Linked DNA regions of Alligator mississippiensis. The protein of the gene in region 1 purifies or fractionates together with the protein of each later gene. This does not show direct contact. Links are inferred from orthologs where the notes say so. Each region holds a gene or a part of one and is shown on either strand. Other genes may lie near its edges. The genes, in order: DCAF7, TCP1, FAM53C and TROAP.

What was found.
Region 2: the proteins of DCAF7 (region 1) and TCP1 purify together in Homo sapiens (affinity purification with mass spectrometry; 3 studies listed by BioGRID and IntAct, counting the BioPlex papers as one, with this or other methods). This does not show direct contact. The link is inferred for Alligator mississippiensis from reciprocal best matches to the Homo sapiens genes DCAF7 and TCP1.
Region 3: the proteins of DCAF7 (region 1) and FAM53C purify together in Homo sapiens (affinity purification with mass spectrometry; 3 studies listed by BioGRID and IntAct, counting the BioPlex papers as one, with this or other methods). This does not show direct contact. The link is inferred for Alligator mississippiensis from reciprocal best matches to the Homo sapiens genes DCAF7 and FAM53C.
Region 4: the proteins of DCAF7 (region 1) and TROAP purify together in Homo sapiens (affinity purification with mass spectrometry; 3 studies listed by BioGRID and IntAct, counting the BioPlex papers as one, with this or other methods). This does not show direct contact. The link is inferred for Alligator mississippiensis from reciprocal best matches to the Homo sapiens genes DCAF7 and TROAP.

What each region holds. Positions count from the first base shown.
Region 1 is NC_081827.1:158,478,635-158,485,759, reverse strand, and holds the start of DCAF7 (DDB1- and CUL4-associated factor 7), read right to left. Parts: upstream 3,012-7,125; 5' UTR 2,803-3,011; coding exon 2,665-2,802; intron 1-2,664. UniProt on the Homo sapiens protein: Involved in craniofacial development. Acts upstream of the EDN1 pathway and is required for formation of the upper jaw equivalent, the palatoquadrate. The activity required for EDN1 pathway function differs between the first and second arches.
Region 2 is NC_081824.1:137,785,753-137,793,631, forward strand, and holds the start of TCP1 (T-complex protein 1 subunit alpha), read right to left. Parts: upstream 3,068-7,879; 5' UTR 3,003-3,067; coding exon 2,930-3,002; intron 456-2,929; exon of another isoform or gene 321-455; intron 1-320. Other genes in the region: MRPL18 (large ribosomal subunit protein uL18m), read left to right, coding at 3,192-3,417, 3,755-3,938. UniProt on the Homo sapiens protein: Component of the chaperonin-containing T-complex (TRiC), a molecular chaperone complex that assists the folding of actin, tubulin and other proteins upon ATP hydrolysis.
Region 3 is NC_081832.1:79,617,029-79,624,411, reverse strand, and holds the start of FAM53C (protein FAM53C), read right to left. Parts: upstream 3,126-7,383; 5' UTR 3,035-3,125; intron 2,334-3,034; exon of another isoform or gene 1,946-2,333; intron 981-1,945; 5' UTR 1-980. Other genes in the region: CDC25C (M-phase inducer phosphatase 3), read left to right, coding at 5,922-6,067, 6,162-6,259, 6,475-6,514.
Region 4 is NC_081838.1:6,717,077-6,725,044, reverse strand, and holds the start of TROAP (tastin), read right to left. Parts: upstream 3,029-7,968; coding exon 3,024-3,028; intron 2,818-3,023; coding exon 2,499-2,817; intron 2,415-2,498; coding exon 2,279-2,414; intron 1,991-2,278; coding exon 1,821-1,990; intron 1,266-1,820; coding exon 1,172-1,265; intron 1,094-1,171; coding exon 906-1,093; intron 710-905; coding exon 616-709; intron 531-615; coding exon 451-530; intron 228-450; coding exon 171-227; intron 1-170. Other genes in the region: PRPH (peripherin), read right to left, coding at 4,813-4,943, 5,518-5,567, 5,639-5,859, 6,031-6,156, 6,267-6,428, 7,017-7,112, 7,402-7,462. UniProt on the Homo sapiens protein: Could be involved with bystin and trophinin in a cell adhesion molecule complex that mediates an initial attachment of the blastocyst to uterine epithelial cells at the time of the embryo implantation.

The DNA.
Region 1 (7,125 bases):
CATGTAGTTTGAATGCTTTAAAACTACTTCAAATCTGAAAGGCAGAACAGCCTAAAAGCAGACAGATGGGACTACTACAGGCTACAAGAACCCTTGGAGGATCCCAGTCTTAGGGAATAGAGATGGCATAACACCAGCTTTGTTCCCCAAACCACAAACTTATTTTTGGTACTTCTCAGCAGCCAGACCACAAAATGTGGCCAGTACTCTTAAGCAATCCAATCTAGTCCAATAACTGCTGGGGTTTATTATATTAGGTCTTCTAATTACAGTAACAATATTTACAATAGACTGCAACCTCATAGCATACATAGCCTGACTTTTTAATCAATGCCTTGATCTCTTAATGAAATGCATCACCATTGTAACCTCTCAGGTTTGACGCCAAGAAGGTATGACACAACAGCATCTAGTCAATGAATACATATCAGGTGAGGACACAGTGTTGGTACAGCAGAGAGTCCAACAGTCAGCATCAGTCAACTTATCACAGAAATACTGGTATCTCAGGTGCCACAGCCTGGAAACTTGGTAAAAGTTGGCTTTTAGTGGCTACCGCTATACTCATCTTTCAAGGAGGGCATCAGTTTATCCTTTGTCCTGTAAAGTTTTAACATTCAGAGTCAAATTATCCACTGCACAGAGTTTTCAAAATGAAAAGCATTTTTTTGCCCTTCCAAAATAGGTTTTATTTAAGCCTTTTTAAATGAGTAAGAATTCACCTTTAGAATGAAATGAGGCTCAAAATTTTCAGATCAGGAAAAGAATTTTTGGAGGAAGTTGATTGCATAGGGTTTTAAATGAAAGTATGTTCCAACTGGAACTACATTAGTTATGGTGACAGACAGCCAGAAACTAACTTCTCTGGGCCCAACAATGAGCAATTAAGCAGCCCTGTTAAGCTTCACTAGCTTCTGTCAAACAGTGAGACACAAGTTGGTTTTTACCCTCCCACCATATGCTGGTAAACAGTGAAACCTAAATACTTCTGCCTGAAAGTGTACCACTGGTTATTACAAGTAACGCCTACTACTATAATTGAAAGGAAAAAAAAAGAAAATTTCACTTTCAGTCCATTTGACACCACTCAGTGTATTTGTTTTATCCTGCTTACACGGTTCTTTCACAACAAATGGGATATTTAAGCAAAACAGGAACTAATGGAAGATGGTAGCACCATAGGCTATTTTGAAAATTATTAATTAAAAATTACTCTGCTCCCAGAGGATCTCCCCCCATAAAACTCCCCACTTGTAGGAAAAGAACATCATGAAGCCAAACTGTCAACTAAACTCTGTGCTGGTCAGAAGTAAATTAACCATCAGTGAATAAATTAACTTAGAAAGTACTTTATATAATGCTGTACAGACAATAACTTAATGATTTTAAGTGAAGTCACACCATGACTGAAGAATTCAGTCTATACACCACATTCAACATAGTCTGTAACAGGGACGTCCATCTGTCTCCAAGTTCCCTCCCCACCTCCACTCTTTAGCTGCCAGCGAGTGGAGCAGCGCTGAGAGCAGGTCCTGGGCTATGCAGGGAAGAAGAGGGTGGGAGGATCAGGACCCCAACCAAAGTGGGATTGAGCATAAGCAACAGCTGGGGAAATCACCCATGTTGTGGAACACAGGAGGGAAAGGGAGGTGAAGTCATGTGCCCATACTTGAGTGGTACCGGGGTTGTGGGGGTGGGACACTGCCTGTGGTGGGCTTGCAGTACAGTGGGAGTGGTGGGGAGGTGAAGAGCATCTAGATGCATGTCACGCTCAGTGCAGCCTGTGGCCCCCAGCGGTGCAGCCCTCGGGGGCTCAGAATTTGTACAGCCCTGCTCTATAATATTTATTCCTTTATTTCATCTCTAGCATCACATTTTTCCCATAGGATGGGGAGCTCCTGGGGTCTGCACAGAGTGGACTGAACCAGGGCCTGCAGAAGTGATTAGCTAGGGTGAGCCTGGAAGATGAGACTTCCGACTTGTATTCAGTGTGGATAAACAGGAGAAGCAGCCCACCCTGCCAGGGACAGATAGTGAGGACTCACTTCCCTGAGGAAGCCAAGGGAGCAGAGGGAGACCTGGAAAGTCAACAAGGGACCTGCAAACGTGAAAACTTTTATCCCTGCATGAAGCTTTCCCACTGGAATGAAATCTCGCAAAAGCCTACAAGGGGGAGCCACAAGAGTTGTGCTCCACAGCTTGCCAAGGCTGCCCGGGTGGTGCAGCAGTGCGCTAGGAAGCCCACAGCCGGGCATGTGCCACGCCAGAGCCTTTCCACCCAAGCCCCTTGAAGCAGCATGGCCCTGCTGCCTCCCAGGTCGGGAGGCTCCTTTAACACCTAGGCCTTTTCCCAGGAGCCTCCAGCCTTGCTCTGGAGCCACAAGCAGCAGCTTCTGGTCTCAAACTGCAGCAAGGGAAGTTGAGTTTGGATATTAGAAAGACTCTCTCACTAGGAGGGCAGTGAAGCACTGAACAGGCTACCAGAGGAGCTGTGGACTCTCTCCATCCTTGGAGGCTTTTAAGGCCCCACTTGGCACAGCCTGGGCCAGGATGATGTAGCCGGGGCCGCTCCTGCACTAGGCGGCTCCCGAGGTCCCCTCCACCCCCCGTCTCCGCGGCGCAGCCCGGGGGCCCAAGGGGGGAGGGAGGGCGGGCCCAGCCCACCTTGTTGTTGTACTCCTCCACGAAGCTGCCCAGCGCCAGGCGGAAGCGCTTGTCGGGCCGGACGCTCCAGTTCATGGCGTACACGGTCCAGGGCGCCTCGTACTTGTAGATCTCCTTCCGCTTCCCGTGCAGCGACATGGCGAGGCGCGGCGAGCGGGACCGGGCCGGGCCGGGCCGCGCGCGGAGCGAGGCGGGGGCTCGCGGGCCGGCCGGAGCGCGGCGCCACGCGGGCCCGAGGCAGGCGGCGGCGGTAGCCGCGGGCGGGCGGCGGGCTCCGGGCCCCGAGCACCGGTGTCCAGCCCCGGAGACAGCGAGCGCCGCGGAGGCCGTTTGAGATTCGGCCGCTCACACAACAGGAGCGGAAACCACGCGGGGCGCCCCGCCCGTTGGAGACCGGTTGGCTGCGCCGCCCGTCACTCCGAGGTGGGGGCGGCCATTGGGCAAGCCGCCTGCCAGTCACAAGCCCGCCGTGTCCCTATTGGCCGTTTTAACTTCCATTCTGAGCAGGAGCTCGCTGCATTGGGAGAGTTCCCTGCCGCTCCTCTTCGGCCCGCCCCAGGCGCGCGGGATGCGCGTTCTCAACATCTCATTGGTTGCAGCGGGGCGCAGTGGCCAGGCCCCTCCGCGAGGCGGGTCGCGCAGGCATGCTGCCACCCTATTGGCTAGCGGACGTGTCCGTTCGGGGTGAGCTGTCGGGCGGCGGGGAGCCCTGAGTCGGCGCTTCGAGGCGGGCTGGAGTGTCGGATCGAATCCCGCTCCCCGCGCCGGCCTGGGCTTCGCACGGCAGGCTCCGGCCCTTCAGCGGGAAAAAAGCCCCGCCCCCGTTGAGGCGCTGCAGTAAGGGCCGGGCTGCCGCTTCCCAGAGCGGGTCCTGGCAAAGCCACCACTTTTGTCCCTGGCTGCAGCGGAGGGTCACTGCGGAAGGAACGGGAGCTTGTGTGATGCTCAGGCCCAAAAAGCCTGCCCCACATTCGGGGGTAGCCCAAGGGCCTGGCTTGCGGGGACGGGGGCCTTTTAGCAAGGCCAGCACAGCCCTGGAGACGAAGCGGGAGGGGAGGCGCTTGCTCAGAGAAAAGCCTGGTGAGCGTGGAGCCAGTCTCCAAAGGCCCACTGCACACTTGGCACCAGTGCCACCAGCCAGCATTCTCCACCTCCGCGTCCAAAATCCCTTGCAGTTGTGCTGCAGCTGTGCGGCACGTCACTCGAGTCAGGACTGTTCCCAGGAGCAGGCCGAGGCACGGGGGCCCTCCACCCTGGTCTGCTTGGCTCCCAGCGTGACCGTGTGAAAGCTACTTTCCTCCCCCTGCCTCAATTGCCCATCTGTAAACCAGGGATGGGACAGCTCTGACTATCACCACTTTGTCCAGTCTGTCAGATATAGGAGATTGGGAACAGTGCTGCAGTAACTGTGTTGGGCTAGGTAACACTTGGGAAGCAAGGTTTGGTAATAAAAAATTCAATCTGTTCCCCCACCCCCAGGCTTAGTTGGCTAACACCATATTTTCTGCAACCTAGTTGTGTTCCCCTCCTCACCCCCATCCCTCTAATGTTAGTCCCTTGCTCGGGCGATTTGTATTTCCCTACTGGCTTTGTCATCTTTTTGGATTCACAATCCTAAACATTGCTAATAAAATTCAATCTGTATTAGGCCAACTGTGCAATTGGGAAGAGGTGTTTGTCAGCTTTTGGGCCCAACGTGCCTTTACTTGGGTCAGTTTCCTCAATACATTTTGTGCCCAGAACTTAATTAATGTCTCTCCCAGCTATTTGCCTAGTCCAAGAAAAGATATCACCAAATACGTCCTGCTTCCATCACACAGGTTATGAGTGCCACATTTCAACTTTTTTTCCTGTGCTAAAGAAAACGGGGCTTTGATCCTTGAGTGAGGTCCTTCGGTATTACTATAACAACAATAACCGTAGCAATGAACTGTTCGGCACTTGTAGAGGGTACATCCTGTGCTGAATGATTTACAAATGCCTTGTCACTCTAAGACACCCAACCAACAGCTTGCAACCTAGAACATTATCATTAAGCTCATCTTGCATGTGATGATATTGAGACACAGGGTGAGAACAGTTGCAGGGGCAGGACCATGCCCCATCGGGGACTGCACTAGGCATTCTGAATTCCCCAGTGGTATTTTCCCTGGTGGATTCTGCAGTACCATGTGCAGGAGGTGACCATATCACTGGATGGGACAACACACACATACAGCAGGAATCCACAGGGGCAGGTACTGGGACAACTAGACTGTGAGCAGTGCCTTCCCACAAGCAATTCACTTTGCTGCAGTGCTGCTTTGAGCAAGGACATCTTTATTATTTGGGTTTTGCTCGCTTGTCTTTGACTGAGACAAAAGTTCATGGAAGTTCTTAGAGGTAGACAAGGAGTCAACAAAGCAGTATTTTCTATATGTACTTAGTGGTGATTAAAAAGCAGCACCCCTGTCTCTCATCTCTTTAAAGAGCAAGGAATCACCAGACTGGATTAGTGCAGGGTACATGTAACTCAGCATCGTGTCTCCAGCACATCTGTCTATTCCAGAGGAAGGTGCAGGGAGCTCTGAGGTGGATAATTCTGGAGTAACCTCAACTCATGGGTGGTTGGCTTCTGCCCTGAAGTGTGAGGCTTTATTATCCTTCTTACTTCTTTAATCCTCTCTAACTCAATCCTGGATGCTCTCAGGATTCATATAAATCTCAAATCCCTTTTTGAATCCTCCCACACTTCTGCCAGTTCAGACTAGCCTTCTGTGTGTGGCATGTTGGCTATGAGCAGGACAGATCCGGTGAGAATGCTGACGTGGATTAAAGACACTGCCATATAGGATCTGCAGAAGCTCCATTGCCTTTTGGATCTCCAGGCTGAGGCTGGAGCCCTGTGGGGGGAAATGCCTCTGCCTGGAATGTCCCTGCTGCAGAAAGCTGATACCGACATTCTCCTGAAGTATAAATAGCTGCATCACTGGAGCATGTGTGTAGCCAGAGATAAGGATATGAGGCCCAAGCCAGACACAAAACAGCAACAGGTGCTGGAGAACTCCTTTGCAGCCAGGAGTTGCAGGGTCCAGCATTTGTAGTTGTTTCAGGCACAGGCATTAACTGCAAGGGGCCTACAGGACAGGTTTTGATTTCCTGCCATCCTGTCCTGAAGGGAAGGTGAGATGCTCTTCCATTCTGCTGATTCCTCCCTGCCTGACAAGGAATCCTGCCTGGCTCCTCCAGACTCTAAAGAAGAGTAAATTGTCTTTCAGGAGCAACCAATTTGTACCAGGCTGTAAATTGGTTGGTGGGCCTGCTCCCATGCAGGCAGGCTTTGTCCCCTTTGGAACTCCTCAGCCAGTCCAAACAATAGCCCATAAAACAAACTGTAACCCTTAATCCAAACAAATGAGCAAAACAAATCTTCAGCCTTTCTCCAGGCAGCAAAAGAGGCCATCTTAGCTCTGGCCCTTCCTAGAAGCAATCTCCACTGGGGTTTAGTCTGCCTCCTGGCCACAGACTGCTCCTTCTCCAGTTTGAGCTCCTTGCTCTCTCTCCACTTGGGCTTTTAACTGCTAGTTCCATAGTTTCTAGGGTCAGCAGGGACCTGAACAGATCTTCAAGTCTGACCCCCTGCCCTGTAGATCCCATGGCACATGAGGTTTGCTGCCTGCCTGGAACTCGGATTTGGAACGTCACGGCAATGATCCCAGACCTCATCCAGCCCTCTGATCACTACCCCTTGGTCCTCATCCATGTGGGCACTAATGATGTGGCCAGGAGTAGTTCGGACCATGTCATGAGAGACTACAAGGCTCTGGGAGCCAAGCTTAGGGAGACGGAAGCACAGGTGGTTTTCTCATCTGTTCTTCCAGTGAGCAGATGCGGATGGCACCACAAGGCCTGCATCGGAGAGGTCAACCGGTTGCTTCAGAGCTGGTGTTACCGGGTGGGCTTCGGATTCTTCGACTATGACCCTGCACTTCCATGCAGGAGACATGCTAGGGCGGGACGGGCTACATCTCTCCCCAAAAGGTAAGCGTGTTTTCTCTTCCAGGTTGGCTGATCTCGTACGGTGAGCTTTAAACTAGGTTCATTGAGGGATGGGGATGCAGAGGTGCAGGAGGACACTTCGATGTCAAGCCAGGTGACACGAGCAGGAACAACCCAGGTAAGTGACAAGGGCCCGGGCAAGCTTGGGAACAAGAGGGCAGCATAAACATCCATAGGAGGTCTCAATTGCCTCTACACAAATGCTAGAAGTATGGGGAATAAGCAGGAGGAACACACCCTCCTGCTAGCTAGCAAAAACCCAAACCTGGTTGGGCTTACAGAAACCTGGTGAGATTCTACTCATGACAGGGCAGTAGACATCGAGGGCTATAGGTTGTATAGATGAGATAGAGTAGGGAGAAAAGGAGGGGGGGAGGGGTGTACCGCACTATGTTAAAGAGCAGTACATGTCCTTGATGATCA
Region 2 (7,879 bases), on another chromosome or scaffold:
GTAACTCTTCACAAATAGCCAATTCTAAAGCCCACATTCCTGTAAGTATAGTCCCCGTTTTAAAAGTCTGGAATATAAATAATTTTTGTCTACTTTTGGCACATGTGCTTTTTCAGGGCCTATTTGACTGGGGAAATGAAAATGACTGGGGTGACAATATAAGGATCCACGACAAATCCATTTGCACAATTTGAATGGACACCACGAAGACACCTCGTTTGGCTTCAGGACTAAGCGTTGTTTTTGCCTAATACAGTTAATCAACCCACAACTGTAAATGTACTAAATGCATGTAATTTACTTATTATTCAAAGTCTTATTGTATAATGTTCTGCTCTCTCATATAGGAAAGAGATATTAACTATCTTTTCCTTCAGACTCTGGCACTTTTTTTTCTATCCCATAAGCATAGCCACTTAATCTGTAAATCGAGGAAGTGGCAGTCAAATGGGAAGTGTTCAAATCTGATCTTTCCTTTAGAATTCTAAAAGTACTAAACCCCTTCCTATTTTTTTGTAATCAGTGCATACAAAGAGCTGTTCTTGCTACTGGTATTTACCTGACGGTACCAAATTTCTTATTAATGTGAATTCACTTTATTTAATAGTGAATGTGGCAGACAGGTTACCTTCAGGGAGAGATCCAGCTCAGGGGCGGGCAATTATTTTGGGTGGAGGGCCGCTTACCCAGTTTTGGCAAGCTGTCCAGGGCCACATGGGTAGCTCCACCCCTTGGCAGGTGCCCCGCCCCTTTATAGGTGCCCTGCCCCCTGATCACCATCTTGGGACCAATGTCCCAATATCTTGGGACCAATGTTTCAGGGTCATGCAGGGGTCTGTGGAGCCAGGCTGGCCTGCACGAGCAGGGAGAGAAGGGAGCCCTGCTCTGGGCCCTGCTGGTGCTGGCCCCAGGACACCAATGTGGGCCCTGTGTTCCCACTGGCTCCCATGCCCACTCACTCTCAGTGCCCCCTGAGCCCTACGGTACAAGCAGGGGGCAGCATGCAACCCCGACCCCGCGCTTGTCGGCAGGAAATGAGCTGGTGCTGAGCACAGGGAAAAGCAGCCCCTCCCCCACCCTGTGGCCCACGCTCCCTGCTGCAGCTGCTCACAGCCTGCTGGGCAGCCCAGAGGCAGTGGAGGTAGCCTCAATGCAACCTACTGTGGTGTGAGCTCTGGGCGGGCAGCAGCAGCAAACACTGCCCAGCATGGCAAGCAGGGGAGCTGCAGCTGCTGCCACCGTGGCAAAGCCCCAACGGACAAGCCCAGAGCCAGCATGGGGCCTGGGCTGGCAGCGGGGGCGGGTTACAAGCTGGTACTGAGCATGGGGAAAAGCAGCCCCTCCCCTGCCCCGTGTCTGCTCAGGACAGCCCTGCGCAAGCTGCAAGTGGCTGCAGCAGGGAGCACAGGCCATGGGGCAGGGCCACTCTCCCCCCCCCCCACTCAGCACCAGCTCATGCCCCCCACCCACCTTTTCTTACCCAAGCTTCCTGTGCTGGAGGAGCCACCTGGTCCCAGGCCAGAAGCCCCCGCTGAGGCCGGGCAGGCCCTGCTGTTGCAGGAGCCTGCCAGGGCTTCCTCTGGGTCCTACTGTTCCTGGCTCCTGTCATTTTTGACAGGAACCAAGGACAGATAAATATTAATTTTCTAAATTTTTAGGGGCCCTGCGGGCTGGGTAGATGGCCTAGCGGGCCGGATCTGGCACATGGGCCGTATTTTGCCCACCCCGATCTAGGGGCGCTACAAGAACACTAGTGGAAACTGAGTCATCAAGAAATAAATCTTGAATGACTTTTCTCCATCTCCTGTTTCTAATCTCAGTTTTTACTTCAAGAAGAAATCCCATTTCAGTGCATTTGTGCACAGCTCTGGTAACAACTTGTTTCAAATATGGAATTCAAGGAAAAGTTTTCCCCCATTCAACATGGGGGCGGGGAAAAAAGCCCTTGTCTTGGGTTCAAGTAGGAGGCAAGGGTGAGGGGTAGGTGGCTGCTCCGACTTCAACCCAGGTGTGGGGTCAGAATGCTTCCCCCAGCAGCCCCTGCGCCCCAGCCATTTATCTTCTGCTGCGGCTCCAGGCTCAATCTGGCCTGGAGCACGTGGGGGCTCCAGCCTCCACCCAGCCAGGCAGTGGCCATTGTGGCAGGGGTTCAAGACAGGGCTAGAGCTGCTCCCTGGGTAGCCAGAAAGGCTGGCAGAGGGATGGGTGGGACCAGGGGGTGCAGGTACACGTGGGAGGGGGAACAAATAAGGGGGAGGGGGAACATGGAGGCACCGGGGGTAGATGTTAGGCCTTTTGAGCCCCCTGTGACCTGGTCGCAGTGGGAGAGGGTGGTGAATTCAACACGCCCCCTGATAATTCAATTCTATTTATGGAAGAGAAATAACTGCCCATCCCGAACAGCTCCATGCACGGGCCTGGCCAAAGCCTGCCCCACTAGCATCACTAGCTGTACGGTAATTATTGTATTTACTTCAAGTTCAACCCCTGCAAAATTAACAATAGTAAAAGCGCTCAAAACCTACAATTGTTTTTGAGGCAGCTCATACACGCAGCATATGCAAACCCCAATTCACACTCAGGGAGCCTCAATTGCCTTTCGGGCCGGCCGTGGGTGCTTCCTTATCACTCCTTGCCTCAAAATGAAGAAACGCTTCCACTTGGATGACCCAGGTCTTGCTCAGGAGCGACTCCCAATGAGCAATATCGAGTAAATGAGACAACCACCTCCTCCTTGCATGTTGACTTGTATATTGCCCAGTGTACAATATTTTTTTCAGCAAATACAGGAATTCTGAGTTTCTAATAAGATAATTTCATATTTAAGACCTGACAAACGCTGCCCCCACCCCGGAAGCGAGGGGACCCCGGAGCCGCGCGGCCCCTCCCCCCCGGCAGGCGGCGGTTGGCTCCGCCCCGCAGCCGTTACCGTTCTGGCTGCGGACTGCATCGCCGGAGCTGCGCTCGCCTAGCACGGCCAGGGGCCCCTCCAGCGCCGCCATGGTCCCGCCCGCACCACGCCGGCAGCCGCGAGATGAAGCGTAGGGCACGCCGGGAACTGTGAAGGAGAAGAGGAGAGGAAGCAGCCAATGGCTGTCTGGAAGGGCAGTAACGTCAAACGGCTGTTGCCCCAATCCGGGAGCTCCTCATAACGCCCGGCGAGCGCTGCCTGGGCTGCAGGCGCTGATTGGATGCTGAAGCCGGCGGGGAGACGCGAGTGCGGGCGTCACGGGGATTCGAAGGACATGGGCGGGGCTCAGGGCGAGTGCAGCGCTGGGCTTCCAGGACGTTCTAGAAGGCGGCAGCCGATTGGCCCCGCCCCCTGGCTCGAGAGCGAGGCTTCCCGGAAGGCAACCCGGCTACTGGGGCGGAAGTTCACGTCCTTTCTGTTTCCGGGGCAGCGGATCATTCCCCTTAGTAAGAGTCTAGGCTCAGCCCAGGAGGCAGCTTGGTGCGGGCGGCCGCATTTTGCCGCTGTCGCCGCTATGGCGCTGCGGAGCCGTGTCCGGTCGCTGTTGTTGAGTGTCGCTGCCGCCGCCAGGCTCCGTGGGGCCAGCGAAGGTGCCGGGGATGGGGCTTCCGCGTAGGGGGTTCCGTTGGGCAGGGAACTAGTCTTACGATCGCTTGAGTTCTGTTTAGACTTTACCCACGACGCGCAGAGTCGCTGACATCTTACAGGCGAGGCCATTGGCTGAAGTAGTTCTAATATTTCTAACTTATTTTTCCTTGTCTCTTCTTTTTGCTTCCCCGCAAGGTCTTCGTTTCACATCTGCTAAAGCCAGCTTCGAAGTTGCCGGTGCGGAGGCGGACACAAGTGAAAACGAGGTTGTCGCCCCGGATTTCGCCAACCGGAACCCTCGGAACCTGGAGCAGTTGGCGCTCGCCAGGAAGGAGCGCGGCTGGGAAACCACTTGGCCCAGCAGAGAGTTTTGGCGTAGGTGAGTTGTGGACTTGTTTGGCAATAAGTGAGTTTAAGAACCGGAGCATTTTTTTAAATCTGAGATCTCCAGTGGTACTCAGGAAGTGCTCGTAGTAAAACTGTTGGACCAGAGGCCCCCTCAAACTTAGGCTTTGTGTATGCAGGTAATTAGGGTCAACATAGCCTAGGCTGGTGATTCCTAACTTGGGTGCCTTGAGAGCCTTTGAAGGGTGCTGCGGGGTGCCAAGCCATGTTAGCACTGCTAGGTGTGTGGACGTGATTTGCAAGACTGAAACAGATTTCAGATAAGCCCTAAGGTTAAAAAAACATTCTGCCCCATTGTGGTCTTTCTGAGTTCTTTGCAACAGAAAAACTATTCTGTCTTGTTTTTGTAATTTAAAAAGCCTAGAGAGCTCAGAACTGGCATTTTCCAAGGGATGCCTTGAGCCTAATGAGCGGGTTGAGAATCGCTGTCCTAAGCTCCGTGGCTAGCCACAGTCCACCCAGCCCCAAACATTCTGCTGAACTTCAGGATATGAGGAAAGGCCTGCCTTGCAGTGTACCTCTCCCTGCAGTATGTTTGGAGATTGCCCAGATGCTGTAGGCCACAAGCACAGGAGTCCCTCCAGTGGCTGTTTTCAAGCTGCTTCTTCCTAACTTTCAGCCTTTCTGTCCTCAAATCTTGTCTATAATTGGAGACAAGATGTGCAGGAGAAACAAGTACCATATTTTCTTGCACATAGCATGCCTCAAAATAAAATATGTACCTTGTTGAAAAGTAGAAGGAAGGAAAAATAGCTTTCCTTGAAATAGTAAGTTACTGAGTAGCACAGGGGCAGGCAATTATTTTGGGCAGAGGGACGCTTACTGAGTTTCAGCAAGCCATCAAGGGCTGCATGACAGGCAGTCCAGGGCAGGTTAATATTAAATTTTCTAAATTTTTTAGGGGCTCCATGGGCCGGATAGAATGGCCTGGCGGGCCGCATTTTGCCCACCCCTGGAGTAGCAGCTTCTGCAGCACGAGCCTCGGCTAGGGAGAAAGTGTCCACAGCCAGCAGCTATGGAGCCCCGCTGTGCTGTCCGATATGCAGTGTTATTTCACTTTCCTCAGGTAGAGGCATTATTTCCCTGTTTATGACAGACTCTAATTCCCAGCAGCTGAATCTTGGAAAAGGGGTGTATGTTACATGCAAGAAAAATATGGTAATTTGCAGACTGATATCTACAAGGGGATCTGCTTGAAGGACAGGAAACATACTTTGGATGGCTTTGGTGTAGGCTGCAAGGTAAGATACAGATGAGGAAGGGTGGCACATGTGGCTCAAGTTGGTTGAGACTGACCCTAAGTGACCTCTCATCATGGATTCTGTGACTTTTCCTGTTTCAGATATGCAGAGGCATAGTCTTGTTAAAGATACTATGGGGTACTTTCCATCTGCTTTAGGGTTACTAACAGACAACTTGCATAGCAAGAGATGTGAATTTTCTCTTGTCTGTGATTGCCTTGTAACAATGCCCAGCTTGAGACACCTGGTTCGTGTCTGAAGATATAGAACATCTGTGCTCTGGAGCGGATTTCTCTTTAGGGTGCTTAGTGATGAATTACCCAATCTGGTAACACCCTAATCTCACTGTCTCTCACCCCATCCTCATCAATAAATTAAGCGACTGCGGCATTGATGCCTGCACAGCATGCTTAAACTCCAGGAGAAAGCACAAAAGAAAACTTCAGTATCCACAGACATATAAGCTCCTTCTCCTGTTGGCCTGGGGTAGATTCAGATCAGCAACCTAGACCAGAAAGGTTCATGCCTGTGTTCCTTGTCCTCACAGCCAGTCTGCTATGAATGAATTAATGACATTTTTTTTAATGTAGGGCTCAGCCCTGCAAGGCACTGAACACCACCAGCTTCCATTATGTTCAAAAGAAGTTAAACAATGTTCAGCACTTTTAAGAATCAGACTTTTTTCTACTACATATGAACATGGCCATACTAGACTGAAAACTGAAAAGAACATGGACAAGTTAGCCCATTTTGGTTTATATGTTTGCATTCATTTTTTGTGTCATAATCTGCATGTACAGACAAACAGAAACTTTATTTATATAAAAAATGCAATTATAATTGCATTTTAATTTACCCTAGCTCAAAGTATGCACTTCTCCCGTGAATTTATCTCCACTGTAAGAAAATACTAAGATTTCAGTTAGATATGTAACCCTGCTAACGTTATGCATTCTCTGTTATGGTCACTGGCTGTGTCTACACAAGATGCTGACTGTGCAGTCATTACTACACAGTCATTTAGTGCTTGTATAAACAAGCACTAAATAACTGTGTACTAACTGGAGTTACTGCTCAGTAGCATTGCCAAATGGCTTTTAGGTGACTGCGCAGAATCTTGTCACTACTGCACAGTAGCATCGTGTAATGCTTCCTGCCATGTGATGCTACTGCACAGTCAGCATCTCATGTACACACAGCCACTATGTATTTTTTTAGTATCTATAATTGAAGGTTTGAGCCTACTCACACCCAGGTTTACTGTTAGTAGGCCTGCTTTTACTGCTTGATGGTAAAATGTGCAAATGTAAAGGGCAGGTGGGTCAGATATTTGTGTCCACGGGCCCTCCTTTCCAAAACAGCGAAGTGTGTAGGTATGCAAAAGTTTAAAATGGAAAGTTAGAGAGGGCTCTGAGAGGTCAGCACTCACTTTGAGCTGGAAGAGATGTGCAGTGGGTGACCTTCTTTTCCAACACAGAAAAAGCGTATGTGTGAGGAGCAGAAGAGATTGTAGACAGGAATATAGCAGGGCAGTCTGGCCCTTTAAGTGGGATGGGCAGCTCTGAAGTAGGAGCCCAGCTGCAGGCGATCAGCTGCTAGTTCAAAGCTCAGGAGAAGAGAGAGCAAGCAGCCTGAGCTGGGGAAGAAGTAGTTTGTGGTCAGGAGGCAGACTGGAAGCCAAAGGAGCTTGCTTCTAGGAAGAGCCAGAGCTAAAAGGGTCCTCACCTGCTGCCTGGAGAAAGACTGAAAACTTTGCTCTGTCATTTGCTGCTTGACCACTGAGAATACACTGAGACGTTCCAAAGGTCACCTTGCTAACCGATGGTGCCTCAGCTTTACCTGTGTCTTGCCAGCATTTAGCAGAAGGGATTGTGCCAGCTAGCGTATCAAACCCTGGTCTGGTCATATGCTGAGAAATAAAAGCCTCCTCCCCTCCTTAGATGGGGACTTCCTTTTTGGTCAAAGGCTCTGAAATTACACTTGTCACTGACAAGTATGTCATAAGAGATAACAGAGGATTTATTATAAAGACAAAAGCAGTCATAAGAAATCAAGGACCATTTGTTGAGATACAGACAAATGGAAATATCAGAACAATGATTTTCTCTTATCCTAAACTCTAAGAATATAACTTCCACTTATTAGCTCAACAGATTAGAAAGCAGCCATTGCCTCTGACCTTCTTGTCAGGGTTTTCTGCAAATTCTCTTGTCAGCCTATCACACTCACCCCACTAGCTGAAGGACCAAAGCACCTTATGCCTGGAAAATTTTAGACAAACACTTGCTCCTGTGGCAAGGTTTAAGTACGGTTTCTTATCTGGCCATTTATGTATTATCCATTGAATTCTTGGAGTTCATACTATGCATTTGAATTCCTGCTCCACAAGGGTATATCTGTTTACCAGATCCAGAGATGGCTTTCAGACATAAAGACTGTGAATCTAATATCCTAAGAATCCTGAATCTTACTTAATTTTCCAACTTAATGTCCTTCCCTGAATAGCCAGGTGTTATTTGCCACAGTCCTCTCCTTTTAGAATGCAAATTTGTCTAGAAGGGCCTATTCATGTGTCTCAGACCACTTTGAATGGCCATTAAACATAACCATGTTGGATACTAATTCTCAGTAATTACTTCTCTCAGTCATTTAGGCTTTGGCCCTCTCCCAGATG
Region 3 (7,383 bases), on another chromosome or scaffold:
GCAGCAAGGGGTCGTTGGTGATATCTGTTACTGGGCAACTGTGGCGAGACAAGCTATTGGGCACAAAGAGCCCTCCCTCGGGTCGGGTCGGGATTGAAAGAGCAGGAAAACTAGTTCTCTTCCAAGGCAAGAAGGGAATCCAGGTGGGACACAATGAGATCTACTGTTCGCAACAACTTGAAGGACATGGTATTTATATACCTAAAATGCAGAGAACTACCTAATAGCTGCTTTTGAAAATCCTAAACACATTAGGACATACCTCTCATGGATTTCTGCACCTACTGGCCTGCCCAAGATGCCTGCCTTTGAAAATGCCGCTGAGAACTTATCTGTCACAGGGTGACCAGAAACAAATTGGTCAATTCACTCACTACAGTTCATGCTTCCTCTGTTTAATACGTTGGGTTCTCTTTTAAACGTAAAATTTGTTTTAAACAAAAAAAAATAAAAGTGTATATACCCAGTATATTTAAGGCAGTTTTAATTGGCTAATAAAAAAGCAGCGTTTTAAATGGAATTTCATGTATTTTCATTTCCATTCAAGTTGATATAAGCCACAAGAAAGAAGACTAACAAGGAAATGCATAATTTATCATTTCTAACATAAATGTAGAACTATCAAAAATTAAGAATTTGAATAAGTGCAGGTTAAGATATATAATTGCTTAGAAAAATCGCATACAGATTTTGCGCATCTTCCTGGCTAGCAAAGAATACCAACTTCAGTGTAAGAGCTACATTTAGTTGCAGATCAATGTGTTTTTAAATTGTTACCCTCCAATTAAAATGAGCTACTTTTCTAAAGAAAGACTAACAGCACAAACACAAAACAAAGTTAAGACTGACGGTTTAAATCACAGTTTACTCCTTAGTAATTAATTAAGTCCACCTTCTGATTCCCAATGCTGCTTCATTGCTGGGCTGGCACAGCAGGATACAAACTCAGCTGGGAGGAGGAGCAAGGGTAGGATCGGGGCCTGGGGAGAGAGAAGATTTACCAATGCAACCCCCTAGGCCTGAGCGCCGGGCAGGAGGCAGGAGCGCATCGCAGCTCCTCTGTGGAAGGCGACGGGAGCCTGAAGCAAGGCAAGGGCAAGGGCAAGGGCAAGGACAGGAGCAGTCCTGGAACTGATGGCCGCTCAACCGCTCCGATTGCAAGTTAGCTGCCCCAGCAGAGTGACATTACACAGAGCAACTTGTTGACTCCAGCACGTGCTGCTGTTGCTCCTCTCTCTGGAGCCCGCGGCTCCCACGCCCCCGTCTGTCCTGCTCCGGCCACAGGGACGGGGCAGCAGACCTATGGCCAACTGCGATCCCAGCTGGGCTGGGTTCATGCTGCTGCTTAAGAAAATGCGAACAGCAGCAAAGGTGGCGACTGCAGTTACACCCCAAAGGCAACAACCGAAGGGGTGACTGGGAGCAGCGAGGGAGCAGAGGCTGCCCGACCTGTAAGAGACCCTTGCCAGGGTGCAAGAGCATCTCAGCGTGCTTAATTTGTTTGGGAGAAAAACCAGATCCGGATCGTTACAAAAAGGCCACCCCCGTAGGGAGGATGCAGGGGCTCCCCCTCCCCGAAGAAACTCCGTCCCTATCCCAGGGGGGTCACAAAGCGCTCCTCCAAGGAGACGCCTCTGAGCCCCACCAGGCACGGCCATCGCCCATCGCCCAGCAGCCACCGCCACAGCGCAGACAACAGCCCCGGCCCGGCCCCGGCCCCGGCCCCGGCCCGAGCTCGCGCCGCGGGACGCCCAGGGACCCCGCAGCGCCCGGCGCCGGCCGGACCCGCCTGGTTTGCGGCAAGCTTCCCCCGCAGCTCCGGGCGCGACCCGCCACCCCGCACGGCCCTGCCGGCTCCCGCCGCCCGCCCCGGAGCGCCAGCACGATGTCGGCCCCATGTCCCGCGGGGCCTGAGCCTGCTCGGCGCGCTCGGGAAACCTCTTACCGGGCGGATGCCGAAGGACGCGCGTGTCGGCTCCTCCAGCGCCCGCGTCTGCAGCTGCTCCGCCACCAGCGGCACCATGGCTCCCGCGAGCCAGGCCCGCCGCGCCGCGCCGCGCCGCGCCGCTCAGCAGGGCCGGGCCGGGGCAGCGCCCGCCGCGCCGCTCCTGGGCCCGCCCGGCCGGGGCTCCGCGCGCGCCATCCCCGCCGCCGCCCCTGCGACACCACGCCGGGGTCCCTGCCCCGCGCCGCCCGACAGCGCCCCGCCGAGCCTCCGGCCACCAGCCCCGGGCAAGCGGGGCCCCGGCGCCCGGCACCCGGGCCCGCTCCCACCTCGTCCAGCGCCCGGCTCGGGCGCGCGGGCGCCGCCGGCTCGGGCTCCCCGCACCCGGGCCCGGCCGAGCCCGCAGCGCCCGCGCGGCCCGGGCACCCTGGGAAGTGTAGTCCGCGCCGCCGCCATCGCCATCGCCGCGCCCGCCCCGGCCCCGGGGCCCGCAGCACCGCCGCCCTCACCCCGGCCCGGCCCCCGCCCGCCCGCCCGCCCGCCCGCGGCAGGGCCCCGCCGCCTCCCTGCGCCCGAGCGGGCGGCCCGGCGCTCACCCCGGCCGGCGGCCCGCGTCCCCTCGGCCCGGGGGCAAGGCAAGGGCCCGCCCCCCCGGGCCAGGAGCGCGCTCCCGCCGCTCCCCGGGGCCAGGAGCCCGGGCAGCAGCTGCGTCAGGGCGCAGGCTCCGGCTCCGGCGGCCCCCACCGAGCCGGCTGCGGAAGACGGGGTGCGCCGCACGCCCCGGACACGCGGCCCCAGCCACAAGCAGCGTCTCCCCGGACGTGCAGCCTGCCGGGATCCTCCTCGGGGGGCAGGCAAGGAGACGAGGGGCCCAGAGCCGCCAGCTGAGCGAGGGGGAACCAGCGTGAGCCCGACGGGAACAGGAAAGCAATCCAAGAGAGAGGCACAAGGCCAGGCCCCGAGCGAGGCCCGCTGATCCCTTCCACCACTCTTCCCCGCCCCCAGCGCCCCCTGCTCAGCCCCACCATCCCTCCGCAGAAAGCCTCCTGCCCCGTGGACCCCCGCACCCCACCAGCATCCCCCGCCTACCTCTCCTAGTGCTGCTCTGGACAGGCTCTGGGGAGGCCAAGCCAAGGCTCCCAGCCAGTGATCAGAGAGGCAACACAAAGGGTCTGTCTCCATCTCCAGCGCTGCAGAGAGCTGCCAGGCCCTGTCTTGCAAGGAAACAGCAGTTCCAGTCACTGACCCCAAAGAGAGAGGCAGCAGCAGCAAGTGCTGGGGCACACCAGGGCTCAGAGCTGCGGGGAGGCACAGCAGTCTCTCTCCCTTGAGCCCCAGCCACGGTGGGCAGGATTGCTCCCCAGAACACACCGATGCACAGCCACGTGGGACACTGCACCCAGTCTTTGCTCTCTAATCAGACCCAGCAACCGAAGGCCCGTTCCCCAGCTCTGCCCCCCTCCCCAGCAGCACCGGAGATGCCCGGGTAACTCCACACAACGCAGGGAACCAGTTTCCACGGCACATGGTGCACGTCAAGACGTGCGAACGCGTCCCCAACACTGTGCACGACACGATTTCTTTGCATAGCCCCTCTCCTTCCAGAGGTGCAAAGCACCCGCTGCCCAGTATCATAAGGCGCCAAGTCTCAGTGGGCCCCTGACAACTGGAGGCCTGGGCACGTTAACGCCCCATTCACTGACCGTCTCGAGCCATCTGCACGGGCAGGTGTAAGGGCAGCCGCACTCAGCGAGCGTTTTGAGGCGGCACTAAGGAGACCACCATCCAGCCCAGCGTGGGCACAAGCTGCCCCGTCACCCTGCCGCACGAGCACTCCCCCTGGAAGGCTCTGGAGGAGCCAAACACCTGGCAGACACTTCCCTCTCAAGTCCTTGGTGGCACTGGAGAGGATGCTGGCTGGGCGGGTCCCACGCGTGCAAGGCCCGTCTCCACAGCCGGATCTGCATGTCCCAGGAGCGGCGGCTGTACTTCTTGTACTTGTTTGGGGTCTGAGGGTGGACCTCTGCCTGCCGAGTGGACCTACAAATACAGCATCGCATTCGTCATGAGGAAGGGCCAGATCCTCCCACCTCGGGACAAGACCCCTTATCCTAGCGGGAACAGGACAAGAACGGCCCCGCCGTCCCCTGGGGCAGGAAGAGCAACTTGCCCGTCGGCAGGGTCAGCGAGGAGGAAGAGGCGCTCCAGAGCCAGGGCTCCCAGACTGTCTTATTGCGTGCCCCCTCCCAGATCTGCCAGCTGCCCCTTTCACGCCTATTATTATTATTATAATGGAAATTCAAGTTGCCATTACCCAGTTTCTCTCAGGTACCCCTCACATGTCTTGCACACCCCAGGGGTGCAGCTTGGGAGCCCCTGCTCTGGAGCAAGCTCTGACGTCTCCCCTGTGCCGAGGGCCTGTGGCCAGAGCCAGCAGGCCCGCACGGGGAGAGGAGGTGAAAGACAAAGAGCCCTCACTTGGGAACCTGCTGCAGAAAGCGCTGGTAGCCCAGGGTGTTCTTCCCATAATCAATTTGCTTCTGCCTACGCTGCAGGGTGCTCTCATCCGTCTCGATGTCAGATCTGGGGAACAGGAACCCAGTCAGCACCGGAGACCCGAGACCCGAGCCTGGACAAGCCACGTCCCTGGCAGAGACCACCACACCTGCATCCCGAGCCGGCTCCTTGCGCTGGGCTGGGCCACGTGCCGACCCCGACGCTGACCATGCGAACTCGGAAAGAAACGGGCTCGGAGGACACGGGCCTGCTCCGGGGGAGAAGAGCTTGCTCAGCGGCACCCCGCAGCGTCCAGGGGGCTTGTGTCACCGACGGAGGCGCCGCGCCGCGTTCCCCCAAGTCAACCGCTGGGTCCGGGACGCGGAACCGGAGCTGCGCCACGGGGCCCCCGGGGGACGGAGCCCCGGCTCCGCGGGAGCTCAGGCCCGAAGCACGGAGGTCTGCCAGGGGCGCGCGGGATCCCTCCACGCGCACCAGGTCCTTTCAAGGGCGCCGCGCAACGGCACCGCTGCTGGGTGCGGACAGGGCTCGGCGCACACCCGGAGCTGGCGTCACAGCCCGGGCGACCTGCGGAGGAACCGCTCCCTCCCTTCCCTTCCTGCGGGCATCGGAGCGGACGCTTCGCAGCTACGGGCGCGGCGAGCCGCTGCTCCGCGCACGGGGCGCTCCGGGCTGTGCGGGGCGCACGGACGCGCAGCCGCACCCGTCACACCGCGCAACTGCCTCACCCAGCCCGCCGCTCCCGCCCCGCCCCAGTCTCTGCGGGGGACCGGCGCCCCCCACAGCCGCCTGCCGGCACCCGAGCCCGCCGCCGCTCCCCCGCCCGCCCCGGCGCCGCCTTTCCGCGGGCGGGCATGCCGCGCCCCCCGGGGGCCGCAAGGGTCGGCGCGGAGACCCCCGCCAGGCGGGCAGCGCCCGGGTCTCCCTGCGCCGAGCCCCGCTGCCTTCCCGGACGCGGCGGGCGGGAGCCTGTGCCACAGCCGCGGCCGGGACCGGGACCGAGACCCCGGGCTGGGCACCGGCAGAGCCGCGGGGAGCGGGGCGGGGCGGCCGTACCTGCGCCCCGCCGCGGGCCGGGAGGAGGCGACGGGCAGCATGTACGACACCGCCCGACCCGGCCAGGCCCGGCCCGCGCCGCCTCTTGGCGCCTGCGCCACGCCCACGTGCGGCGTCGACAAGCTCCACGTGCGCCCGCGTGCGGCCATTGGCCGCCCGAAGCCCCGCCCGCCGGCGGAAGCCCCCAATGGCAATAGCCCTGCCCGCCCGGGCTCCAATAGCGGGCAGCGCAGCGAGCCAATCGGAGAGCGGCTCTGGGGTTTGTTTTCCCCCGCCCCCAGCAGCGCGCTGATTGGTGAGGGGCGGAGAGCAGCGCGCTGATTGGCCGGGGGGCGGGGCGGCAGGGCCGGGGGGCGGGTTCTATTTACATTCAAGTGGGCGGCGCGGGGTCTCTCCGCGGGCCATGTCGGGGCGGCGCTCGCCGGGGCGGGGCGGGTCGCGCCTGGGGCTGCGCGCCGGCTGCCGCATGGTGCTGGGGCTGCTGCGGGACGCCGACCTCTCGCTGCCCTTCTCGCCGGACCTCGCCCGGGGCCTCCGCGCCTCGCCCGGGTGAGCGCCGCTTCGCCGGCCTCCGCGCGGGCCGCCGCCTCCCGTGGGGCCCGGCCCGGCCCGGCCCTGAGCCGCTCGCGCGTTCTCCCCGCAGGGCCACGCCGCGCTGCTGCCTGGACCTGTCCGACCTCAGCGCCGGCGAGGAGATGACCGTCTTCCGCTTCGCGCCGTCCCCGGGCGGGCCCGAGCCTGGTAGGCGCCGCCGCCCCCCGGCCCCTGCCCCGCCGCCCGGCGCTCGTGGCGGCGCGGCGGACCGCGAGGATGCGCGCTGGGCCGCGGCGGGGGCCGGGGCTGCCGGGCGTTCCCAGCTGCCCGGGCCCGCCCTGGTGCCGGCCGCCTTCGCCTCGCTGTGGCTCGTGCCCGGCGCGGCCGCTCGCTGCGGGTGTCGCCTACTTGTGTCTCTTCAGTTGCAGGCCGGACGGACGCGCCGGGACGCGGGCAGGGGCCGTAAGTGTCCTGGCTGCTCGCTGCTGCGGGGCCGGCGGTCTCTGCGCGGCAGCCTGCGCCGTGCTGCGAGCGGGGCCTGTCCCTCCCGAGGCTCCTCGTCCGCTGCGAGCGGTGGCGGGCGTGTCTTGTGCCCGGGTCAGGAGTGCTGGGTCGGGCCGGGCGGACGTCCTGTCCCGTCCCGCGAGCCGTCCTTGCCTCTGGCCGGGCAGCGGCTAGGGCTCTGCTGGCTCGGACCGTGTCGCGCCCAGCCTGTTTCACGACGCTGGGAGTCTGGGCGGTGGCGGCACTGCGCGGCAGTTTGAAGCACAGCTATTCTTTGCGTGTTCGCAGTGGGTCGATTGGCCCAGGGCTCTCCCTTTGCGCAGAGCGCGCTGAAGTGGATCTGTCTCTGCCTCGGCTGTCCTGTCTTACAAACCTTCCAGCTGCGCTGATTTTAGCGTTGGCCTGTGGCTTTTCAGCTGCCGAGTCCTTGTCCTCCTACTTGAATCTCATTTCAACACAACCCCTGCCCATCTAAGCGGTTAGCCGAGGAACAGAGATGGTAGTATTGTTGGTTCGCTGCTGTGCCCGCCTGCCCATTCAGGGGACGGTCCAGCCCGTTCGGCACGTGTGGCTGGGATGCTGTCAGAAACGGCTGTTGACTCGCTTGTCAGCGTGTCCGTGCCGTTCGGGTGTTGTCCCCATCTGGACAGCTCCTGCTGAGCGCGGACAATGCACGAGTTCCTAAAGAGCCTAGAGCGGCTGCTCGTCCCGCAGCGGTTGGGTGTCTGCAGTACCTGCCTCTTCCAGGTCTAGCACCTGCTGGACCTGGACAGGTGATGTTTGCACAGAGGCTGATGCGCGGGTGCCAGCTGTGTTGGATTTGGTGT
Region 4 (7,968 bases), on another chromosome or scaffold:
GCTCCATCTCCCACCCCCCCCACAGCTGAGCCTGGGAGAGCTCAGACCATGCCCCCAGAGCAGAAGCAGCATCAGACAGAGGGTCAAAGCCCCCCACCCACAAAATGGGGACAGGGCACCCCCATCCTCAGAACCCTCCAGTCAGGAGCCCCCCCCAGATGTGCACCCACCTGTTCCACGTGTAGCTGGTGCCTGTCCCCCATCTCCCTGGCACAGGCGGGGTTGGGCTGGGGAGAGAGCATGGTGAGACGTGGGGAGCATGGAGCCTCTGGCCCCTGCTTGGCCTGTGGAGAGGACCCAGGCATCTGTGGGGTCTTCCCCCATCCCATTTTGAGAAGGCCCCGGGGGCATCCTTCCCACCCAGGGCAGCAAGCAAGAAGCCATGCAGACCCTCCCCTCCCCGGTCCACCCACCCAGCCCGAGCTCCTGCTCCCACCCAGCTGGACGCACCGGGGACTGGGGCTGCGTCACTGGCGTGTGGCTGAACGGGGAGGAGTGGACGTCGGATGTGTGGGGTACCCGGGGGAGACCTGAGGGAGAAGAAGCGTAAGAGCAGGACGCCATGGGGGCGAGAGGCATTGAGCCCACACCCAGCCTAGGCCCCGCCATCTCTACCTTCCTGGCCCATGGTGGAGAGGCAGGACAACCGAGCAGAGTGACCCCTTGTGGGGATGCCCTCGTGGGTGCCAAGCAGAGAGGCCGTGCTGCCCTGGGGGGGGAAGAAGGCAGCATCAGCTCCTGGCCTTGAGAAGGGGTGGGAGCTGGCACTGCCTCCCGGCCTTGCAGCTGTGCGGGGGGCCTGGACAGCCCCCTCCCCCAGAACAGCAAGCAAACAGCCATGCAGACACCCCCCCCACCCTGATCCTCCTAACACACAAGCCCCTGCCGCCACCTGCCATGCGCACCGTGGGCAGGGGCGTCATCGCGGGCACTTGGCCAGACGGAGAGGCATGGGTGCCAGGTGCGTCTGCACACACTGTGGACTGGAGTTTCCTCGCCAGCACCCGGCCGAAGGGAGAGGGGTGAGCGCCAGGTGTTGCCTTCTTCACCGGCACCCGGCCAAAGGGGGAGGGGGCTGCCCATGCCTCCAGACCTGGGGGAGAAGGAGCGTGAGGGCAGGTGTCCAGGTGCTGAGCCCACCCGGCCCCGGGCAGGGTCCTGCCAGCCCTACCTTCCTGTCCTGTGGCAGAGAGGCAGGACCCACGAGCAGAGTCACGCCGTGGGGGGACGCTCCCACGGGTGCTCAGCGACAAGGCCCTGCTGCCCTGGGGGGAGAAGAGATGTCAGCCCCGTCTGCAAGAAGGGACCTCCCACCCCCTTGAGGATGCAGTTGCCTGCAGCCACCGCCTACGCTGGGGGCCCAGCCCAGCCGCCCACCAGAATCCCCCGGGCCGATGCCTCTGCCCCTCCAAGCAGCAAACTGGGTTGGGGGACGACCCCAGTAGCCTGCGTGTGCCGGGGAGTGGAGCAGGAGGCTGCACGGAGGAGGCCTGTCCCTCCTGTCCCATCCCCTCTCCACCCCGAGGACCCAAGGACCTTGCATCTCAGCCCAGAGCAGGAAGGGCGTGCAGGCCTGTTTGCACACACACGGACAGGCCTTCAGGAAGGGGAAACCGAGGCAGGACAGAGAAACCAGGAACAGAATCTCATTTCCAGCTTCTAAAGGCACCCCCCACCCGCTCAAACCACTAGACCACACTGTCCTCCCCCAGCCTCTAGGATCCCAGGCACCTCCCTACAGCCACCAAGCTTCACCCCAGACGCCATGACCCCGTGCCCGCGGGGCAGCATGGGCTCAGGGGACTCTGGCAGGGACTTACCTTTGTGTTGCCCTGGGCCAGGAGGGAGTTGCTCCTGCTGCCTCTCAGGGGGATGCGACGTGCCAGGCTGGGCTTCCCGCCCGGGCCCAGGACAGGGCTGCACAGCCTCACGTTGGAGAGGATGCCGGCCAGCGCCGCCGGGTCAGCCACGAACTCCACCGCACTGGCATCTGCCGGAGGGAGCACAAGGGAGGGCTCAGGCCCACCGCCCCTGCCAGGCCTGGAGCTGGCATTGCTGGCACGCAGCGGGGAAGCAAGAGCAACGACCCTACGTGTGGGTCCTGGGGTGGCTCCGGGCAGGCGCAGCTCCATGCACGGAGCAGGGGACTGGGGGCAGCCCCAGAAACACGACATCAACCCCCCCGCCCGACCTGCCCACACTGGGGCCGACGGCCCCACACCCTGCTTAGCCTGGGTGGCGGCACCCGGGGTGCCAGGGTAGCATCCTGCCCCGATACCTTTGCTGGCGGCGCTGCTCTCGGGCACCTTCTTCTGCCCCCCCGCCCCCAGCTGGATCTCCTCCAGGGGGGCCCGGGGCCGGCTCCTCCACCAGCCCGCGGGGCCGGGGCTGGGCTGCGTCCTCGGGGCCTTGCCCTGCGGGGCAGACACGGTCACGCGGGGACAGGCGCTGCCCCGCGTCTCGGCTCCCGGGCCGGGGGGCTGCTCCCGGGCACTCACCTGGCCGCCGGGCCCGGGGCTGGCGCTGGGGCCCGGGCCGTTCTCGCGGCCCCGCGGGGAGCGGGGGTCTCTCCGCGCCGCCAGGGCTCCGGGACTCGCGGCTGCAGGGACAGACCCGGTGAGCCCCACTGCGCGGTCGCGAGCACCCGCGGGAGGAAGCGGAGGCGGCTGCAGCTCCGGGTCCCGGCCGGCTCCACGCGCGACCGGGACCCACGCACGCACCGGGGACACCCCCGCCACATGGAGGCCCCGCCCCTGGAGAACCCCTCCCACGGGCGACGCACCTGCCCGCGTGAATTCCGCCCCAGCCGCGCGCCCGCTGATTGGGCAGCGCCCGCCGGTTCATAAAACAGCAACCGGCTCTCATTGGCCCGCGCGGGGGCGGGGACGGGCGCAGAGCGAGCCAATAGGGAGCGAAGAACGGGGCGAAGGGGGGGGATTCGTGGGTTTCCCTCCGGGGGAGGGGTGATCTCGCGAGATTTCACTTAGCGCATGGAGGGCGGGAACACCTGGCGTGTCAGTGACGTCATTGCGATCTAGCCCCGACCCCGGGGGGAGAAGGAAGAGACTGGGGGCGCGCTCCTTGGGTCCGAGTCGTTCCGTGCCTCAGTTTACCCAGCTATAAAATGGGTCCCTTTCTTCCAGGGCAGGGACAGAGGCAGAAATCCAACGGGCCGGGGGAGCGGGGTGGGCCTCAGTTTACCCGGCTATAAAATAAGTTCTCTTCCTTCGGGGGAACAAGAGAGGCAGAAATCCAATGGGCGGGGGGGGCTCAGTTTACTCGGCTATAAAGTAGGTCCGCTCCTTCCAGGGGAAAGAGACAGGCAGAAATCCAGCGGTGGAGGGAAGGAGGGGGCTCATGGGGACAGCTAACTAATTCTGGCAAAGGCGGGGTTGAACCGGCAGACCCCCCAGCCCGACACAACGGCAGGCACTGGGCTGCCCCCTACCGCCCTCGCGGGTGGGATCCCGTCTCCCCCCCGCCCCGTTCCAGGAGCTGTACAAGCCCCATCCTGCCCAGCCCAGGTCACCTCCCCCAGACAGAAACAAAGACCCCAGGCCTGCCCAGACCCCCCAGGGCTGGGTGAGACCCCCCGGAGTCCTCAGCACCCCCCCCCCCCCGCTGCCAGGGCACCCTCCAGTCACATGGCCCAGTCTGTTGCACTTGGCCCCACTGGCCCAGAGCACAGAGGGGAGGGCGGTCATTAAGTAAACCGTAATTAAACTATAATTAAACTGTAAGTTGGAATGGCAGGTTGCTTCCACGCCCCGGCTCACAGGATGCCACAACCACCATGGGCTGCAGCCCCAGTGTCCCCAGGACTGTGGTAACACTGGAGTCACCGCCTTGCCTCCCCCCCAGCCCCGGTGCCACAAGGGGGACACAGCAGAGCAGAGCTCCTCACTAGGCTCTTTATTGGCTGGACAAGCGGATACACAGCGGGGGTCCGTCGCTGTTCAGGCAGGTCGGGGAAGACCCAGGAGCACCACAGCAACTCCTGCAGCAGGTGTGGGGGGGGTCCCCCAGGGCTGGAGGGGAAGGGGTGCAGCTGGCCGAGTGGCCCCAGTCACATCCCCCTGGTTTGGTCCAGAGCAGACCGAGGCAGAGGGAGGGGATGCTGAGGCAGAGGCACCGAGTGTAACAGAGGGGGAGCAGAGCACAGAACAGGGGGAGCTGCAGAGAAAAGAGCCAGGGTCAGGGAATGGCCCAGACTCGTGCCAGATGGATGCCACCACCCCGAGCCCTCTGGCCTAGGTGAACCCTGGGCCTGGGGCACAGCTTTGCAGCTGGGCCTGGCTGCAGGAGGCAGAGATGGGTGCTGGGGCAAGTCCATGCTGGAAGCAGGGAGACGGGCCATAGTATAAAAATGGGGCAGCTTTGGTATCAGCCCTTCGGGCCGGGTGGGACCCTGGCTCTGGGCAGGAAGCACTCGCTATAGGCACCACACTTGAACAGCAGCAGCGCCGGCACCCGCCTCCGTGGGGGGCCCAGGCAGCGCCAGGCCCAGGACACAGCCCTGCAGGCGCCAGCTGGTCCTGGATCCTGGTGTCAGCCTCCACCAGTGCCAGGCTCTGCCCCCCTCCCCGTGCCAGTGGTGTTGGTGAGGCAGGTCCTGATGCTTCAGAAGAAGGTGGAGGCCCCCTGGAGGAGGCAGGGGAAGGGGAAGCTGGGTGGGGGCAGGGCAGGGCAGGACTCCTAGGTCCCTCCCTGCCAGCAGCCCCTACCCAGGGGGGTTATTGCTCTGCTCTCCCGTCCCCGAGCACCATGGGCCGGTGGAAGTTGGGTGTGCGGGGGTGCCGGGGCTCAGAGGTATCAGTAGTCGTGTAAGGCCGGTGCGGCGTGGGGGAGTGGGGGGCGGGCTGCAGTGGGGGGCTGCGCGGAGCCTGGTGCTGGGGTCACTTCTCTGACTCCGCTCTCTGCTCCTTCTGCGACTCCGTCACCACCTGCCAAGGAGCAAGGGGTCAGACCCGGTGTCCCTCTGTGCCAGGCTGGGGCCTGCCCATGTGGCAGCTTGAGGGGGAAGCAACGCCCCCAGGAGAGCTGGGATGGAGCCCAGGCATCCAGCGGACCCTGCTCTAGCCATTAGGTCATGCGTCCCCAGGCCTGAGTGAAACCCAGGAGTCCTGGCTCCTGCCAGGGCCAGGAGAGAACGCAGGTGTCCCTTCTCCCACCCTGTACCTGCCCCCAAGTCCAGCCAATGTTGGGCTGGGCCCAGTCCCAGGTGGAGGCTGCGCTGGGCAGTGGGGGGGCATTCACCTCTCCATCCCGGGTCTCAATCGTTTTGATCAGAACCATTTTTCTGGTGTGTGTCTCCACCACTGGCACCGGCTCTGGCTCTGGCACTGGTGGGCAGAGGGGACCATCAGGGAGGTCTCCAAGTCCTTCCTCTCCCTTTGCCCTCCAGGCCTCAGGCATGCAAGGTCCTGGGTGCACAGGGGGCAGAGATGCCCGGGGACAAGGCACACAAGACTGTGCCCTCCCCCCGTCCCTCCCACAGCACTGAGGGCATGGACTCACCTGAGCTTTTCATGGTGAAGGAGGGCATCAGCTGCATGGGCACAGTGATCCTGGGGGACAGACAGGGTGGTGAGCATGTGCCCGGGCCTTGCCCCACTGCCCACCCTGGTGCAGCGCCTACCTGCTCTCCTCGCCCTCCAGCAGCTTGCGGTAGGTGGCGATCTCGATGTCCAGCGCCATCTTGACGTTGAGCAGGTCCTGGTACTCACGCAGGTGCCGCGCCATCTCCTCCTTCATGTGCTGGATCTCCTGCTCCAGCCTCCTCACCGTGTCCTGGTAGCTGCTGATCTCCGCCCCACACTGCTCCTCAAGCTCCCGCATCTGCCGCAGCAGCGCTTCGTTCTGGGGGGTGCAAGAGGTGGGGGGAGGTGAGCTCACAGTCCCCGAGGCCCAGGATGACTGGCTTCAGACTGAGCCCCCCCCCCCGGCATGCTGCACAAGGCAGGTGGCAGGGGGTGCTGTCCTAGCGCCCGGGCACCCTGCTGTGGGGTGCAATGCACCCCAGGGACTCACGGTTCCTTTGAGGCCGTCCACCTCGCAGGTCAGGCTCTGGATCTGCCTCCGGGACTCGTTCATCTCCTGCTTGGCCATGCGCAGTGCCTCGTGGTTCCGGTTGGCTGCGTCTGACAGGTCAGCGAACTGAGGGGTGGGGATGGCACCATCAGGGCAGGGGTCAGGAGCTGTGTCAGGGCCTTGTACCCGCTACCCTAGCACAGGCCTCGGCCTGGGGCAGCTTCCAGGGTGCTGACCTTGGACTTGTACCACTCCTCGGCCTCCTGCAGGTTCTTCACTGCGATGCTCTCGTACTGGGTGCGGATCTCCCGCAGTGCAGCCGTCAGGTCCGGCTTGACCTGCTCCATCTCCACTTGCACTTGCTGGCTCTGGGCACTCTCCTGCATGTCACGCAGCTCCTGCCCGTGCCCACCACAAGCGCCAGGACAGAGCAGAGCATCAGGCAGACCCCCGGGAACGCTGCACCACCGGCCCCCTCCCCTAAAGAGGCTGCTCAGCCTGCCTCCCCCACCCTCTTGCGGCCCGCGGGCACCTGCAGTTCTGTGCATTAGCACCAGGTGGCGCAAAGGCATCTCGGCTGCAAAGTGTGCAGGGGGGATTCCCTGCAGACCACCCGGGCCAGGTCACAGCTTGCTCAACTCCTGGGGTCCCCAGCGTGCCCCCCCCAAGTCAGCACCCCCTAGACTTGCCCCTCCATCTCCAGAGTCAGTGCCCCATAGACCTGCCACCCTCCTCCCGATTCCCAGGTCCGCACTCCCAGGGCTACCCCGCCCTCCAGGCCAGCACCCCTGCCTGCCTCCCCCATTCCCAGAGTCAGCACCTCCCTGGCCTGTCCTCCCCATCCCCAGATCAGCACCCCCCCCCCATCCTCAGGTCAGCACACCTCACCTGCCCCCCCATCCCCAGATCCGCACCCCCGGGCCTGCCCCCATCCTTAAGTCCTCACCCCCCACCTGCCCCCCCATCCCCAGGTCCGCACCCCCCACCTCCTCATGCAGCTTCTTCAGGAACTCGATCTCATCCATCAGTGACTCGATCCTGCGCTCCAGCTCCAGGCGCGACAGCGTGGCGTCATCCACGTCCTGCGTGGAGGGGGGGGGGGTTTCAGAGCAGCCCGGGCTGCAGATCACCTTCCCCCCCCAGCTCCATTGGGCTGCTCCGGGGCAGCAGGACACGAGTGTGCTCACGCGTGTCCTTGCGCCCTCAGCTGGGCGGGGGGGGGGGGGGGGGTCTGGGGCGTGTGTGGCCGGCGGGGACGAGCCGGGACTCGGCGGAGCCGCTGGGCCAGATATGTGCACACGCGTGTCCGAGATCGCGCGTGGGACCTGGCTTCCCCCGCCCCACCCCATGGACCCCCTCTTAGCCCTGCACCTTCCGGAACAGCACCAGGTTGTTCTCCGCCTCCTCCCGCTTGTGGGTCTCGTTCTCCAGCCTGCGAGGAGGGGAGCGGAGGGGTCAGACCGGAGATGCGGGCAGCCCCTGCCCTGGGGACCCCCCGGGCCTCGCCCGTTCCCTCCCCGCCTCCCACGTGCCCCATTGCCCGCCCCCCCCTCCCTCCGGGCTCAGTGGGGCAGAAAGGCGGGGCAGCAGGGGAAAGCACCCCCACCCCCTTTGGATACAGGGGGGCCTCAAAGGTGCCCAAGGCAGGAGGAATCGGGCGGCCCCGCCCGGCAGCCCCCGGGCATGGAGGGGAGGGGGGACACACAAGCCCCGGCTCCTGCCACACGCCCCTCCCTGCCCCCCACCGCTGCAGTGACCCGCCCCTGCGGCTGCGGGATGGAGATGCAGCCCCCACCCAGCCGGCTCTGCCCGGGCCTCAGGTCCCGGGGGGACGGGTCCCAGCCTGATGCCCCAGGCCCCTAAAGGCAGGGTCCAGCCCCGGCCCCACCCTGTGCCCATCCCCGGGCTTCTGGGCTCCGCTGAGCCCCCCTGCCCCGC